2 linked regions of the Drosophila melanogaster genome follow. The protein of the gene in region 1 interacts with the protein of each later gene in a pairwise test. Each region holds a gene or a part of one and is shown in the gene's direction. Other genes may lie near its edges. The genes, in order: Grip71 and kel.

Region 1 (7,416 bases):
TTTGAGAAACGGGTTGGTTGATGGTGTTGGGCAGATCAGAGAATCAACCTAAACATTGTTAAACAATTATTAATATTAATGTTCATGATTAAATTAGGAATAGTTTCTCTATTTATCCTCCGACTTGGACGTTGACTACGACTACTTAAAACTTGGTTCAAGTTTTGGTAATGCGTTGCTGCTGGTAACACGATGATGCTTTCATTTGGTAGGTGGTGCTTGGTTACGCTTCCAGATCGTTAACGAACAGCACCTCGCGGTTCTTGAGTCCTACGGCCTGAAGGGTTTTGGTCAGCGTCTCCTTGGCTGTGCCTGTTTCCCCAGCGGCATCCAAGTTCGCTTTCGAGAAGAGCACGCGCTTCGGGAAATTCGTTGTGATCTCGAACTCATCCGGCGAATCGGGATGGCAGAAGAGATAGTGATAAACGTCCTGCAATAACATCAAATCATCAATCCCAAATTAGCAGTTTAAATTTGTGTAACTTACAAGCACCGAATCCGTCTGGTTAAATCGGCGCTCTAGGCGTGTTCCACTGGGCAGCTTGAATACAACTGCAATGGCGCCGACAGCATCCGCTGCCGGCTCGGATGGCACCAATGTGGCCAGCTCGATCTTTTGCCGGGCAATCTCCTCCTTGCGAAGCTCGACATCGCGTCGAGCTTGTTCCACAGCCTCCTCCGCCTGCCGGACGGCATCCCGCTCCCTTTGCCGCTGACGCTCCTTCTCCTCGTCCGCAAGCAAACTCTGCTCGTATGCCTCGTCCTGCTGTCTTCTTAAAGTCTGTGTAAAATTCCGCTCTAAGCGATCTGCACGCGCTTGACTCAGCCACACCTCGTTGGCGTTCGTCACCGACTGGAGGCGACGGAGCAGCTCTTCGGGCGTGCAATCCCCCTCGAAACGTCCGACGATCATCATGCGATTTGCTCGAAGGCTGATCATCACCATCGTTGGGTAGCTGCGCACCGTTATCGACTGCATCACCCGGTAGCCCTCCGGCGTGGCTACGTCGCATCCCCATAACAGGGTGTGTGTGTTAATGTAGTCAATGACCGATCTCGCCGACAGTGTGTTGCGGCAGAAGGATTCCACATCTGGGTTCTTGGCGGGATCCTTGTGCAGGTAAACGATTAGAAAACGCAGCTCCTGCTTAGCATCGTTAAGGGCCTGGGCATATGTGCCCTGATAGAAGACCGGGTGCTCGGGATACCTTTCGTAGTATTCCCTAATAAACTTCATCACATCCCCCAGTGGATCTGTCACCAAGCGGGCTTCGTTTCCTCCGCCCAGGTTCACAAACGCACTGACGATGCTCGTCAGCGTGGAGTAGAAGTACTGAAACACGAAGTTAATCACATATCCAATGATGCCGGTGAAGCTGCGGGGAACGGGGCCACTGGGCACCCGGCTAACCGTCCTTCCGCCAGGCATGTTGGCGGAAAACACCTGCTGCAGGAAGCGATCGTTAAGGACAGCGGGCGCTCGGACATCTGTAGAGGCGGCGAACATGGTCGGACGCCCCTCGCGGATATTTAGCTGCTCCTGGAAGGCCACCTGCATATGTAGATATGAAAAAGGGTAAATAAGCTGGTATTTAGTATAGCAGGGCGCCCAACGCAAAATTGTAAAAAACAAATTTAAAAAGAATTTAGAATAAAATGATTACTATCTTTAGTCGTCAGATAATATATATGTACAAAACTTGTTGGTAGTAGTATTCTTGCAGCCACCACTGTATGCAAGACTGCAAGACTACGTGACCCTGTTATTTTGACATTCACTGTGTGGGCATATAAACATATGCATACCTCGAGATCCCATTGGTGTCTGATTAGGACGTCGCGGCAGACGTTCATATCCTCGATGCCGGTGAGATCCTGGAACTGGAGGACCTTCTCCGTCTGTTCGTTGGTCAGTCCATCAGCTTCCATCTTTCCTGCAGTTGAAGGCCTCCGTTCCCAGTTGTTATCGTTGTTGTTTGCTTTTACGCAGTGCGTGCGTGTGTGTGCTTGTGTGGGTGCCAATGGCCCGTGACTGTCTCCCTGGTGTTGTTTTTGTTGTAAGCTGGCCTTTGTCCAGTGGCTCAGCCGCTGCGGCGGGGGACGGGGGATGAGTAGCGTGGTCACTAAATGCTTCTACTGGTCGCCAGGAGTCATTTCAACGCACGCCAAATTGCCGCACTACAACGTCTTTAACATTTCTCGGCAATTTATTTCTTTTTCGCAGGTGATTGCTTGCTCTTCTTCTTGCCTTTCTGCCAATGATCCGATGAATTTGGTTGTGAATGACTAGTGTGACCGCGCAGGCCGACGCGTTCTCACTGCGAAATCCAGCGGCAAACAAACAATTTGTGTTCGCTTTTTAAAAAATTATTTTTATTATTTATTTGATCTCTATGCCTGGCGTGGTAAAACACAGAAAAAGATTAAAAGCAATATTGATATATAATTCAAAGGTGTTAGATAAGGACAATGTGTAGTGGAATCAGCATATTTGTCTAACATCACTTGGAAAATCGACGGACGAGCTTTGGAATTTTCAGGTAATAAAGCAGCGGGCACATTCTTAAATCAGTCCGAACAAAAGCACTCAAATTTGAATTGTGTAAATATCTGAAGAAATAAATCAAAATGCATGTTATTTCCACGTCTAAAAAAACCGTGCTCTCCGACTTCGCGGATCTGGAGACAAAGTCTGAGTATGTGCACCAGAACGCAGAGCCCACGGACTTTCAGTTCAACGGCCAACGCCGGGTCTTCGTGGAGGTGGATAAAATGGCGGGCTTGGCCGTGATGCGAATAAAGGAGAAGGATGGCAAGAGTAAGAGAGAGGTGCGGATCCCCAAATCCCACGTATGTAATTAACTTCCCATTTCACAGCGCCCGAGATTCAACGAGTCCGTAAGCTCACCATCGACAATGCCTTCTGTGTGGCGTGCGCCAAGCAATCCCTGGAAGAGATCGCTGTGGGTCAGAGCGGTTGTGTTAAGCTATACAACTTTCGGACGGCACAGCTCATCCATCGTTTTCCGGCGGACCCGCAAAGGAGTACTGTCCTCTACATGGACTACAACAACACGGACGAGTATATAGCCGCCGTGCGCGATGGCGGGGACATCAGTATCTTGGGTACCAAGACCAAACAGAAGACCAACACCTTCACCATAGATGGCGAGTAAGTTAAAGGCTTGCTTGTTAAAGGATTGCATTGATCTTTCGCTATCCTGTTAATATCAGCTCTACTCTTGTGCGCTTTCATCCGAGCAAACGCTTTCATCTGTCGATCGCTTCCTATAAAGGAGCCGTGACTGTCTATGATGTGCAGGGAATGCGAAAGATTTTTCATGCCAGCGAAGCCCACAGTGCTCCCTGCCGGGACATCAGTATGTGCACATCCCAACCGGCACTGCTGGTCAGCGTGGGCTACGATTGCAAGATAAATATCTTCGACATTCGACGAAATCGTGCTCAGGCCTCTACGGATCGCTTGACCTACTCGCATCCACTATCGACGGTGGCGCTGAGTGAATGTGGCACTTATCTTTGTGCTGGAAACCTTAAGGGCGAATTAATAGCCTATGATATGAGGAGTACAAAGGCTCCGTTGGCCGTGAGGAGTGTACATGATGCGGCTGTAACACGTGTAGCCTTTGTGCCCGTGCCAAGTGGGGATAACCAGCAGAACGGTAGCCTCAACAGCTCCGAAAATGCAACTGGTTTGGCGACCGAAGCTCCTCGTGTAGAGCGTGCGCCCAGCGATGAGTTGCGTAAATCGATTGCCGCTAATTTGTTGAGCACCCAAAACCAGCTGACCAGTCTTGGTTACGGGGTGTCAACACCTACCATAGTTCGCCGGGATTCCTTTTGCGAGTTCCTGGATGCCCAAGGTCCAAGAGCTGTGGATCGCATGTCGACCCGCTTGGGCGCCTCTTACAGAGATAGTTTTGACTGGGAGACGCTCAACCGAAAACCGCAACCTTATGAAACTGCCAATCGTCAAAGTCTTTGTCCTCCAGTGGCGTCTGGCCCAAGCTCGGTGGATAACTCCGTCAACAGCTCCACCACGGAGTCACTGCAACGCAAGTTACTGTAGAGATTATTATTTTTTAGTTATAATAAGCTTATTACTTGCAGAGACCTTAAGCGGCCCACTGAAGGATCGGAGCAACATTTCCGGAGACGGAAAGCTGATGAAGATTGCCGAGACGGACGAGCTCTGCGAGGAGCAGTCTGCCAACATTTCCGTGGCCAGCAGCACAGGAGGCGGCAGCGACAAAGAGAATCCCCCGCCGGTTGACGCAGAAATGAAACGCCGTCTGCGCTTGCTTTCGGCCAGTCGAAACAGTACCCCGCACCATGCTAACATCACACCACAATCCTCAAATCCTCTCTTGAAGCCTCAGCAGTTGCTGGCCAAATCGTCAAGCGGACTTTCCGCCCAAATGGATGCAGATTGGCGCAAGGAATTCAGCGAGCTAAGAGATTTTGTAGACCAGCGCTGCGAGAAGGTGGAGCGCGAATTGGAGTACGTTACCTTCTCTAATCAGCGGCTATTGGCTAATAAGATGACCAACTACATGGACCAGCAGGTGGAAAACACAAGGGAGATCCGGGACGCCCTGGCTTTACTACTTCAAGGAGATAGCTTCATGCGCGAGTTCTCGCGCCTACAAAATGAAAACGAAATGTTAAAGGCCAAATTGAAGTTTTACCAGGAGCAGGAGCAAACTGAATCATGCGGAGAGTAAAACGAGGGGGAGACATGTTAATAATTAATTGAAACATTGTTATTATTGTATTTAATTTATTGTTATTATCAACTATTAGTAACATTTTTCAAAATAGGTTTTGGCGTCTCATGAGTTTTATGTAAATTTTAATTCGTTAATCGATCCATTTAGATATTTTACAAATGTTTTAGAATATTTACCTCGGTCTATAAAATGTTTTTGAATTCGTTATTAATATAGTGCTGCCAAAAGTGTAATGCGATAAGAAAGCTTCTTAAAATGTATTTTTTAAAACCCTTTTCACTTTCTGTACTCTAGCTTTAAGTGATCATTTTTCGGATTCGTCATGGGCATGTCCACCGATATGGTCCTGTTGAAGTTCTCGTAGTCGACAATGTAGCGCTCGTTTTGGGCGTCGTAATGGATGATATTGACGAACCGCTGGCCCCAGAAAATCTCCCTTGGCAGATAGGACGTCTTGGCCTCCGTCATCTGCGCTGTGGCAGGCGAAGTGCCCACAATGGACACATACAACTCAAATTGGGCAGCATTGAAGAGTTTCGCTGTGGTGAACTGAGACAACGGGCTGGTCTCATCGATGACATGGCACACCACATCGGGCCAGAGAATAATCTGCTCCCCATTCCCCTCCAGCTTCAGTTCCACGTGACTTTTTATAGTCTCACCCTCGCGCGTGCTGTCAGAGAAATAGATAAGATGGGGGTTCGTATTAATTGCTTGTTTTATCCAGCAGCAAGTACTATCTGAATGGAAGGTCAGTTCATTTATGACTTTCCTTATGACTGGGTCAATATTTCAGGAGTCAAGTGTGATTAAATTGTTTCTATAGCATTTATAAATATTGAAAAAAAAACGTTGAAGATCAAGACAAAATAGGAAAATATACCCAAATTAACCGCGGATTCTTAAGTTCTATGATTTTCCCTAAAATGCGACTGTGACTCACCGTTTGTCCACGATGATGTAGACTCGTATCTTGGACTCGATGGACTGCTGCTCGCGGGGATCACAGACGCGGAAGAGCAAACAAAGCCTGCCGTCGCGATAACAGATCTACGTGAGATAATCGCTAAAGGATGGATCCGAATGGTTGGGTGTACTCCTCTCGCCCAGTGGAGGCATTTTACTTACCACCGCCTTATCGCTGAACTTCAGCTTGGTCAGCTGCCTCGCCGGCCGTGCGGTCTTGGCATAGATCACGCTCACCATACAGCCCTCGATTAGGGCCGCACTCAACATCTGCATGACGAACAGGAAGATCGTCTCCGGACACTCCTCGCTGGCGTATTTTTCGCCGAATCCGAGGGTCGTCTGTGTTTCCACAGAGTATATGATCATGGCCACCCAGCTGTGCACCCCGTAGATGCAGGGATCCACGCCCTCGCCCATTCGCTTGCCACTTACCGGATCGAAGATGAAGTCACCGTGCGAGTAGGCCACCACGTAGCAGAGGGCGGCGAAGAGCAGCCAGCTGAGGAAGTAGCTGCCCAGGAACAGGGTCAGCATATACTTCCACTCCAGTTCCATCTGCGCGATTGGAAAGAAACGACCTTTATGGATTACCAATGAATGAAAATACGACCCATTTTAATATCTTTACTGTGTATCCCTTCAATTTAGCAAGTGAATATGTGGTTGGTTAATACGTATTTATTAATATGTGTGAGTATTTTAGTCGGTCATGGCTTGATCAATGTACTACAAACTATATGCTGAACGTGACGCGCTCGTTTTGGTTAGGATTAGACTTCGAAAAATGGGGACTCAGGTGCGGTGGCTCATTGGCCAGTTCATCGAGTCTGCGCTGAATACTGGGCGTTATGCTATACACATCCGATCGCGATTGATCGGCCCTGGGTGTAGACGTTTTCCTGTGTCCGAACCAGGATCTTACCAGCGTGGTGACCAGATCCCGCATGTAGCGCCATGACTTCTCCGGAATGCGGCGGAACACAACGTTCTCCTTGCCGTTCTTTTCCATCACGCGATTAAGGCTGCGTCTCAGTCCATCGGAGGAGGAAGTCCGCGGTCCGGATCCCAAATCTGGAGTAAGCTCAATCGTACTGCCCGCCCAGTCGTGTGCGTAGGGGAAACTAAACGTGGGACTTATATTATTATTTATATAAACTTGTAGGGTTTTTATAATACCAGAAAAGTTCATAGAAAATAAAGGTTTTCGTTTCTTAGTATCCATAGTCATTATAACAACTATCTGATTGGTAATTTCTTTTGCCTAAACTCAACTCACTTTTGCTCGCTGCGTGTTTCCAGGTGATCGCCGGCTGCTTTTGACCTTCTGCGCCGTACGAATCCCGGACTCTCCGGATAGTAATCGGACGCATTGACCGTCTCCTTTTCGGAGGAACGGAGCAGTGGCTTCTGCTCCAGTGGCTTGGGCTTCACCGGCATGGAGGTTGAGCGATGCATGGTTAGGGAATCCGTGGCAGCAGCTCCCAGGGGAGATGCGTCCGATTGCATGACCGGGATTCAGCTATTGCCGCCTACGTCGACGCGGAATCACTGACGAGAGCGTGGCCTATAATTGTCGGAAATTTGGGGCAATTTCACTCGAACGCGTAGATCTGCGTTTTAATTTTAATTGAATTGAATTAGGCTGCAGTGGCCCACGGCTACGATTTATAGTGAGAGCGAGAGCTCAACTTGATTG
Region 2 (7,691 bases), 570 kb from region 1:
CCGGTCGGCTGAAGAGCTACCTTAAGGAGTATCACTACAAGCAGAAGCTGCGCGTCAAGCCCATCGACCAGAACACCCCGATGCCGTACTACGGCAATGTATAGCGGGAGGAGCAGCAGGTGGGCTTCACCTACTACGAGGACGTGGAGAGCGGCAGCGAGGTGGACGAGGACGACGACGAGGGGGTCAACATACGGGTCTCCTACGTTCAGCACGCCGAGGTGGTGGCCCAGCTGCAGCAGGTCACCACGGCGTCGGGCCCATCGGCTCCGTCCTCATCCAGATCGTCCAATCTTCAGGAGCACCTCAGCAGGCTGCCCAACCGCATGGCAGCCGCCTTTGGTCGGATGTCGGCCAATCTGAATTGCTACCAGAAGACTGTCGCCACGCCGGAGCGTCACTCCAACTCCTCCTGAGGATCAGGACGTGGACGGAGGGGCAAACAGAACCCAGAAACCAAAACTCAAACTGAGACAATCCCAGTGCAGCGTGTGCCGCCACCATAAGTTAAAAGATCAAACGCGAAGCCACATAACAAAATCGCTAGCTCGCTACTACAAGACTGTCATGGATCAAAAACCAAATGTTCACCATATATATCTCACCTATTGGAATGCAGCTCGGACGGATTTTTGAGTTGTGGCACTCTTGAAAGCGAGCTGGTAGAATGTAGAATCGAAATCGCAGTTAGCTAATTGTACTATAAACTAAGTATTATTATCTAAAGCAACCCTCTCTCCTACACACATAAGTATTGCAAAAAGAAGGGCCAATCGAGCTTTTCGTAATCGCTGGTATTCTTGTAATATTTCATTGTATTTATTTGAAGTATGGAATCTAAATGATGTGTTACTGTTACGTGTAAATACGAGATACGAATGCAGCTTAGTTAGTGTAAAACTCTCTCATTAGCCAAATTTCCAAATGTAATTTTCGCCTATTTATGAATATACTTTATTTATTTATTCGAAGTGATTTCGTTCGCAAGCGAGTGCTTTGTTTAAAAAGAAAAAACCCGTCAGTTGTACACGTGTAGAGCATTTGTAAATACTACCGATTTTCGCATTAAGCTGTAGCTATATTAATATAATGAATTATAAATCATGTATTCCTACCTAGGTGGTTGCTGTTATTCGTAAACATTCAATAAGCAGTTGTTTCCAATACCTATTTAATGTATTTTACATATCTCACATGTTGATGAGCATGCGTATCAATATTCAAAAACAAAATCGAAAAAAGAGTCAAACAAATAAAGTTGATCAAGATATTAGAAAAAATCTCAAAGTGTGTTTTGAATCAGAAGTGTGGAATCATAATCAACCCAAATGATTGATGTATTTTAATATCTTTAACAAATGAATGTTTAACTCATTCGTTATTTTCATTATAAAGTCGTGAATTCTTTATAAAATGAGAGTAATCAACTAAAATCTATAGATTTCTATTTATTTTATTTTATATCTATAAAATATCTATAGATATTCTATCAAGATTATGCTGAACTAAACCTTTTTTACTTTCTTTTATGGAATTCGAATATGCAATCTTAATGAATTCTGTGTCGCATATTTGTAATCTTTTTGCAATTTTATTTATATATTTTTATAAGATGAATTAGGTATGCTTTTTTTAAGTTTAGGTAAATGTGGAATATTAGTTTGTATATCAATTTAAAAATCACACTTTTTGAAACGTACGTATAAATAAAAATTAAAGGGGAGAGGTCATATTTAAGATGTAATTCAAGTGAATTACAAAAATTCAAAAATTAAATGACTTTATCATTAATTTTATAGTTGGAAACAAAGCCAGCTCAGTGAGAACTGGTTGAAAATGCCTATCGGACTATCGATGAGTATTCATCGCTAGTGGTAACTTGCGACCAACCCGAGGCTGGTCACACTGCTCTGGTCGCGTCCAAAAAGTGTACAATTTTTCACCACCTCGGTTTGTTTTTTCGGACCAGGCGAGGCACCTTCGATTCGCTGCGACTTCCGTTTCCGATCCGTTTCGGATGATAGCTCTGAGTGCGCTGCTAACCAAATATACGATCGGTATTATGAGCAACCTAAGCAATGGCAACAGCAACAACAACAACCAGCAGCAGCAGCAACAACAACAGGGTCAGAACCCACAACAACCAGCACAGAATGAAGGCGGAGCGGGAGCGGAGTTCGTGGCGCCACCGCCCGGACTAGGTGCCGCAGTGGGCGTGGCAGCCATGCAGCAGCGCAACCGCCTGCTGCAGCAGCAACAGCAGCAGCACCACCACCATCAGAATCCCGCCGCCGAGGGAAGTGGCCTGGAGCGGGGCAGCTGCCTTCTGCGCTACGCCAGCCAGAACTCCCTGGACGAGAGCTCCCAGAAGCACGTCCAGCGGCCAAATGGCAAGGAGCGCGGCACTGTGGGGCAGTACAGCAATGAACAGCATACGGCGCGCTCCTTCGACGCCATGAACGAGATGAGAAAGTAAGGATGGCACGAGATCCTGTCGAAGGATCAGTTCGTACGACTATAAAATTTGGTTAAGTCCTTAAGCATCATAAAGAAGTAGCCAGGGTTTCTAAAGACCTTAAGGCAGTATATTTAGATCCACAAATAGTATTATATCCTAATTCCTACCTGTGAGAGGTTTTAAAAACCTTAGGTAGAACATTGGTTATTTTGTACCTGCCCTGGAGAATAGAACACACAGCACCCACATAGGACTTTTAATGATATGCAGAATTAGATCTATGTGATTTTATAGCCTGATTATGTAAATAAGCACACCTACAACGGTTCGAAAAATGTTTCAAATGTCATTTGTTTGCTCAACAGCAAACCAGCTGAACGTTCGTTCAGGTTCTAAAAAGGTGTCAGCTATTTCCCAGTTACTATTTCCTTGACAAAACAAGCTGATCTGAGTTTCTACCACTAAAACTTTCAGTTGTTAAATATGACGACCTACCTCAACTTAATATAAATAGAACTGTGCTAACTACACTCTATTATAAACTCATCTCCTCTGTTCCCGGACAAAGGCGCATGATTCAATCCCTGCGTGTTCGACGGGAACAGGTGGACCGACTGGCTCTCGAGCTTTGAGATTTGGGCCAAGATGCGAAAATAAAATCTCTGAAAATGTCAGATGATCGTCTCTCGCATATTTGCGCAGTTCGCTTTGTTTATCTGGCCGTTGCTAATATTTGTGTTTGCACACTACATATGTATAAACGAATATTTGCCGCCGCTTTTGTCGTGGGGCCATTCGCATTAATTATTGTCTAGTTTTTATTATGATGAGTTGCTTACGCCTTCGGGTTTCGCATTGGGCCACGACCTTGAACTTGGTTGCGGCCAAAAATGATATTCGTTTTCGAATCGCATTTCGATTCCGCTTCCGCGTCTCCGCCTTTGCTTACTTTTTGGAAAACTACTGGGCGTATGGAAAATTTATTGGTAGCTTACATAAAACGAGTTTTTTTTTTCGGACCAATCATATCGTATTCGGCGCGAAAGTGAATGTGGTATAACCCAAAAAGTAAGCCGAGCGTTGTAATGTGGATTGCTTTTTGATTGGGAATTGAATCACACAAATATTTCGTGAGGTGTATATTCTATGAGATTTTTTTTATTGGGTTATAATTATAACACCTTACGATTTTGAAGACAAAAGATCTTAGTCTTTTCGAGTAGTCATCATCATTTAATGGCGCCATAATTTGCACAGTTAATAGCATCCCCGTCTCTTTTTACAAAACAAAATATTTTCCTCTTGAAAAAATTCAAGCACTTTTGTTTACAAACATACATACCAGCCTTGAAGATATTTAGCACGCTTTTAAACTGTTTATTTGGCAATCAAAACGATCTATTGCTAGTGGATTTCAAAGTCTCAATATTGTCGATACATGACGGTTACTAACCAATTTACTGCGTACAAAAAAATGTATCAAATCTGATATATATATATTTTTACCTATAACAGACAAAAACAGCTCTGTGATGTGATATTGGTGGCCGACGATGTGGAGATCCACGCTCACCGCATGGTGCTGGCCTCCTGCAGTCCGTACTTCTATGCGATGTTCACCAGTTTCGAGGAGTCGCGGCAGGCGAGGATCACCCTCCAGAGTGTCGATGCTCGGGCCTTGGAGCTGCTCATCGACTACGTATACACTGCCACGGTGGAGGTAAACGAGGATAACGTGCAAGTCCTCTTGACCGCCGCCAACCTGCTCCAGCTCACGGATGTGCGAGATGCCTGCTGCGACTTCCTGCAAACTCAGTTGGATGCCAGTAATTGCCTCGGCATCCGGGAGTTTGCCGATATTCATGCCTGCGTGGAACTTCTCAATTACGCAGAGACCTACATCGAGCAGCATTTCAAGTAAGTGGCTAGATTGTGATGACGCAGTATGGGCAGACAAATATAAAATTGTTTTGATTTGCCTGTTTACAGATAGGAATCCATTACTGTATCTGTTCAGTGTTCACTTTTAGAGCATGTATATTGGGAAGACTCACTTTAGTTTGTTCTATATCTACGGATAGTAATTCGTATTTAAATTCCAGTGAAGTGACTATTTATTTATTATTTATTGAGGATAGAAAGCTGCCGTACAACAATATCAATTGAATCGATTAATGGGATCAGATATTTTAATAATTATAGTAACATTTAATAACATGTGTCAAGTTAAAGTTCCTTAGACTCAACAAAAAGGATTTTTAATTATATTATAAAAACGATTAAATTCCTAGGTGTGTTTGGAATGTATCAAAATTTAAATAGTTTAACAGTCACGCATTGGTGTCTTCCAGCATCTGTTTGAAGTCGCTAATTTTGGGTTTCCATAAGATCACGAATTTAATCTTATATTAATTATATTTTCGAATTCAACTACTGAATTAGTAATAACCAAAGTATCAGAATTATATAAGTTCTCATTGATTTCATCAGGCAGAAACAAAATTAGTTAATTATTAAGTTTATATAACAGTAAACAGACGCAAAACCGAAAGCAAATGTGCAATATAAACCATTGAACCGGTTGCGATTAATTAAATTTACTTAGCCCACTCCTCTCATTCCTTGCGCCCCATTACTAACTGCTTGTGTTTGGTTTATTTGCAGCGAGGTGATCCAGTTCGATGAGTTTCTGAACCTCTCGCACGAGCAGGTCATCAGCCTGATTGGCAACGACCGGATTTCGGTTCCAAATGAGGAGCGCGTATACGAGTGCGTCATCGCCTGGCTGCGCTACGATGTTCCTATGCGGGAACAGTTCACCTCGTTGCTCATGGAGCATGTGCGTCTGCCGTTCCTGTCCAAGGAGTACATCACACAACGTGTGGACAAGGAGATCCTCCTCGAGGGCAATATCGTGTGCAAGAATCTCATCATTGAGGCATTGACCTATCATCTACTGCCCACTGAGACAAAGTCCGCTAGAACGGTGCCCAGGAAGCCGGTGGGCATGCCCAAGATACTGCTCGTTATTGGAGGACAAGCACCCAAGGCTATACGATCGGTGGAGTGGTATGATCTGCGAGAGGAAAAGTGGTACCAGGCCGCCGAAATGCCCAACCGCAGATGCCGCTCCGGCTTAAGTGTCCTGGGTGACAAAGTCTATGCTGTCGGAGGTTTCAATGGATCACTGCGTGTGCGCACCGTAGATGTCTACGATCCTGCCACGGATCAGTGGGCAAACTGCAGCAACATGGAGGCCAGACGATCTACCCTGGGAGTAGCTGTCCTCAATGGTTGCATATACGCCGTGGGTGGATTCGATGGCACTACGGGTCTGTCGAGTGCCGAGATGTATGATCCCAAGACTGACATCTGGCGGTTTATCGCCTCCATGTCCACGCGTCGCAGTTCTGTGGGCGTAGGCGTCGTCCACGGACTTCTTTATGCCGTGGGCGGTTACGATGGCTTCACTCGTCAGTGCTTATCTTCAGTGGAGCGCTATAATCCGGACACGGACACATGGGTTAATGTGGCGGAAATGAGTTCGCGGAGGAGTGGCGCCGGAGTGGGAGTGCTGAACAATATCCTTTATGCCGTTGGCGGTCACGATGGTCCCATGGTCAGAAGATCTGTTGAAGCCTACGATTGTGAAACGAACTCCTGGCGTTCAGTGGCAGACATGTCATATTGCCGGCGAAATGCGGGAGTGGTGGCTCATGATGGCCTGCTGTATGTGGTCGGTGGCGATGATGGCACCTCAAATCTAGCTTCTGTGGAGGTCTACTGCCCGGACTCGGACAGTTGGAGAATACTGCCTGCTTTGATGACCATCGGACGCAGCTATGCGGGCGTGTGTATGATCGACAAGCCCATGTGAATGGAAGAGCAGGGTGCATTGGCCCGGTAAGTCAATGGAAGCATTGTTACCAAAACAAATTATAATAATCTCTCTTGTTTCTTTTCAGCCAAGCTGCTTCGTTGGCCATCGCACTGCTGGATGATGAGAATAGCCAGGCGGAGGGCACGATGGAGGGCGCCATTGGTGGTGCCATCTACGGTAATCTGGCGCCGGCTGGTGGGGCTGCAGCGGCTGCAGCTCCAGCTGCGCCGGCTCAAGCTCCCCAGCCAAATCATCCGCACTACGAGAACATCTACGCGCCAATTGGACAGCCCAGCAACAACAACAATAACAGCGGCAGCAACAGCAACCAAGCTGCAGCCATCGCCAATGCCAATGCCCCTGCAAATGCCGAGGAAATTCAGCAACAACAACAACCAGCTCCCACTGAACCTAATGCCAACAATAATCCGCAACCGCCAACAGCAGCAGCTCCAGCACCATCACAACAACAACAACAACAGCAAGCACAGCCACAACAACCTCAACGCATACTGCCCATGAATAACTATAGGAATGATTTGTATGATCGATCTGCCGCCGGCGGAGTCTGCTCCGCCTATGATGTTCCGAGAGCCGTGAGATCTGGCCTTGGTTACAGACGCAACTTTAGGATTGATATGCAGAATGGTGAGATTAAGAATAATATTAAGCAGAAGACAGTTACACTAGCTTGATTCGTACTTTTAAGTATGAAGTGCTCAAAAGTTGTCTTTCAATTAACCTCTTTTTGAACGGTTGCTTGTGCTATATAACTTTGTACGTATCGGTTTGCCTTCATTTTCGTGAATATTTTAAGCAAACAGCCTTTTTAAATGTTGTGAGGTAGGAAGCAAAAACCATTTAAACTTCAAAACAAACACGAAGTTCAAATCAATTATTAGTTCTTAACGGCCCACATTTAAATCAGCATTTAAACGCATAGTTTCTAACTTTTCGTATAACAAATGAATTTTCATTAATCGCTATATTTTCCACTCTAGGAAATCGATGTGGAAGCGGTCTTCGTTGTACTCCACTTTATACGAACAGTCGATCCAATTGTCAACGCCAGCGCAGTTTTGACGACACTGAGTCCACGGACGGCTACAATTTGCCTTACGCCGGAGCGGGAACAATGCGATACGAGAACATCTATGAGCAGATTCGAGATGAGCCACTTTACCGCACATCCGCTGCGAATCGAGTTCCGCTCTATACACGTCTCGATGTTTTGGGTCATGGAATCGGAAGAATTGAAAGGCACCTTAGCTCGTCATGCGGCAACATCGATCACTATAACTTGGGCGGACATTACGCGGTATTGGGACACTCGCACTTCGGAACCGTGGGACA

Evidence for each region.
Region 2: the proteins of Grip71 (region 1) and kel interact in a two-hybrid assay, tested with the Drosophila melanogaster proteins (2 studies listed by BioGRID).

What each region holds. Positions count from the first base shown.
Region 1 is NT_033779.5:18,706,310-18,713,725, forward strand, and holds Grip71 (Grip71), read left to right. Parts: upstream 1-2,536; 5' UTR 2,537-2,628; coding exon 2,629-2,818; intron 2,819-2,877; coding exon 2,878-3,172; intron 3,173-3,234; coding exon 3,235-4,076; intron 4,077-4,131; coding exon 4,132-4,745; 3' UTR 4,746-4,988; downstream 4,989-7,416. Other genes in the region: Faf2 (Fas-associated factor 2), read right to left, coding at 224-430, 488-1,552, 1,807-1,929; Irk3 (inwardly rectifying potassium channel 3), read right to left, coding at 5,028-5,424, 5,695-5,801, 5,880-6,275, 6,643-6,853, 6,997-7,226.
Region 2 is NT_033779.5:18,132,258-18,139,948, reverse strand, and holds the start of kel (kelch), read left to right. Parts: upstream 1-1,865; 5' UTR 1,866-2,017; coding exon 2,018-2,472; intron 2,473-3,973; coding exon 3,974-4,375; intron 4,376-5,122; coding exon 5,123-6,335; coding exon of another isoform or gene 6,336-6,361; intron 6,362-6,423; coding exon of another isoform or gene 6,424-6,986; intron 6,987-7,339; coding exon of another isoform or gene 7,340-7,691. Other genes in the region: Socs36E (suppressor of cytokine signaling at 36E), read left to right, coding at 1-104. UniProt on the Drosophila melanogaster protein: Component of ring canals that regulates the flow of cytoplasm between cells. May be involved in the regulation of cytoplasm flow from nurse cells to the oocyte during oogenesis. Binds actin.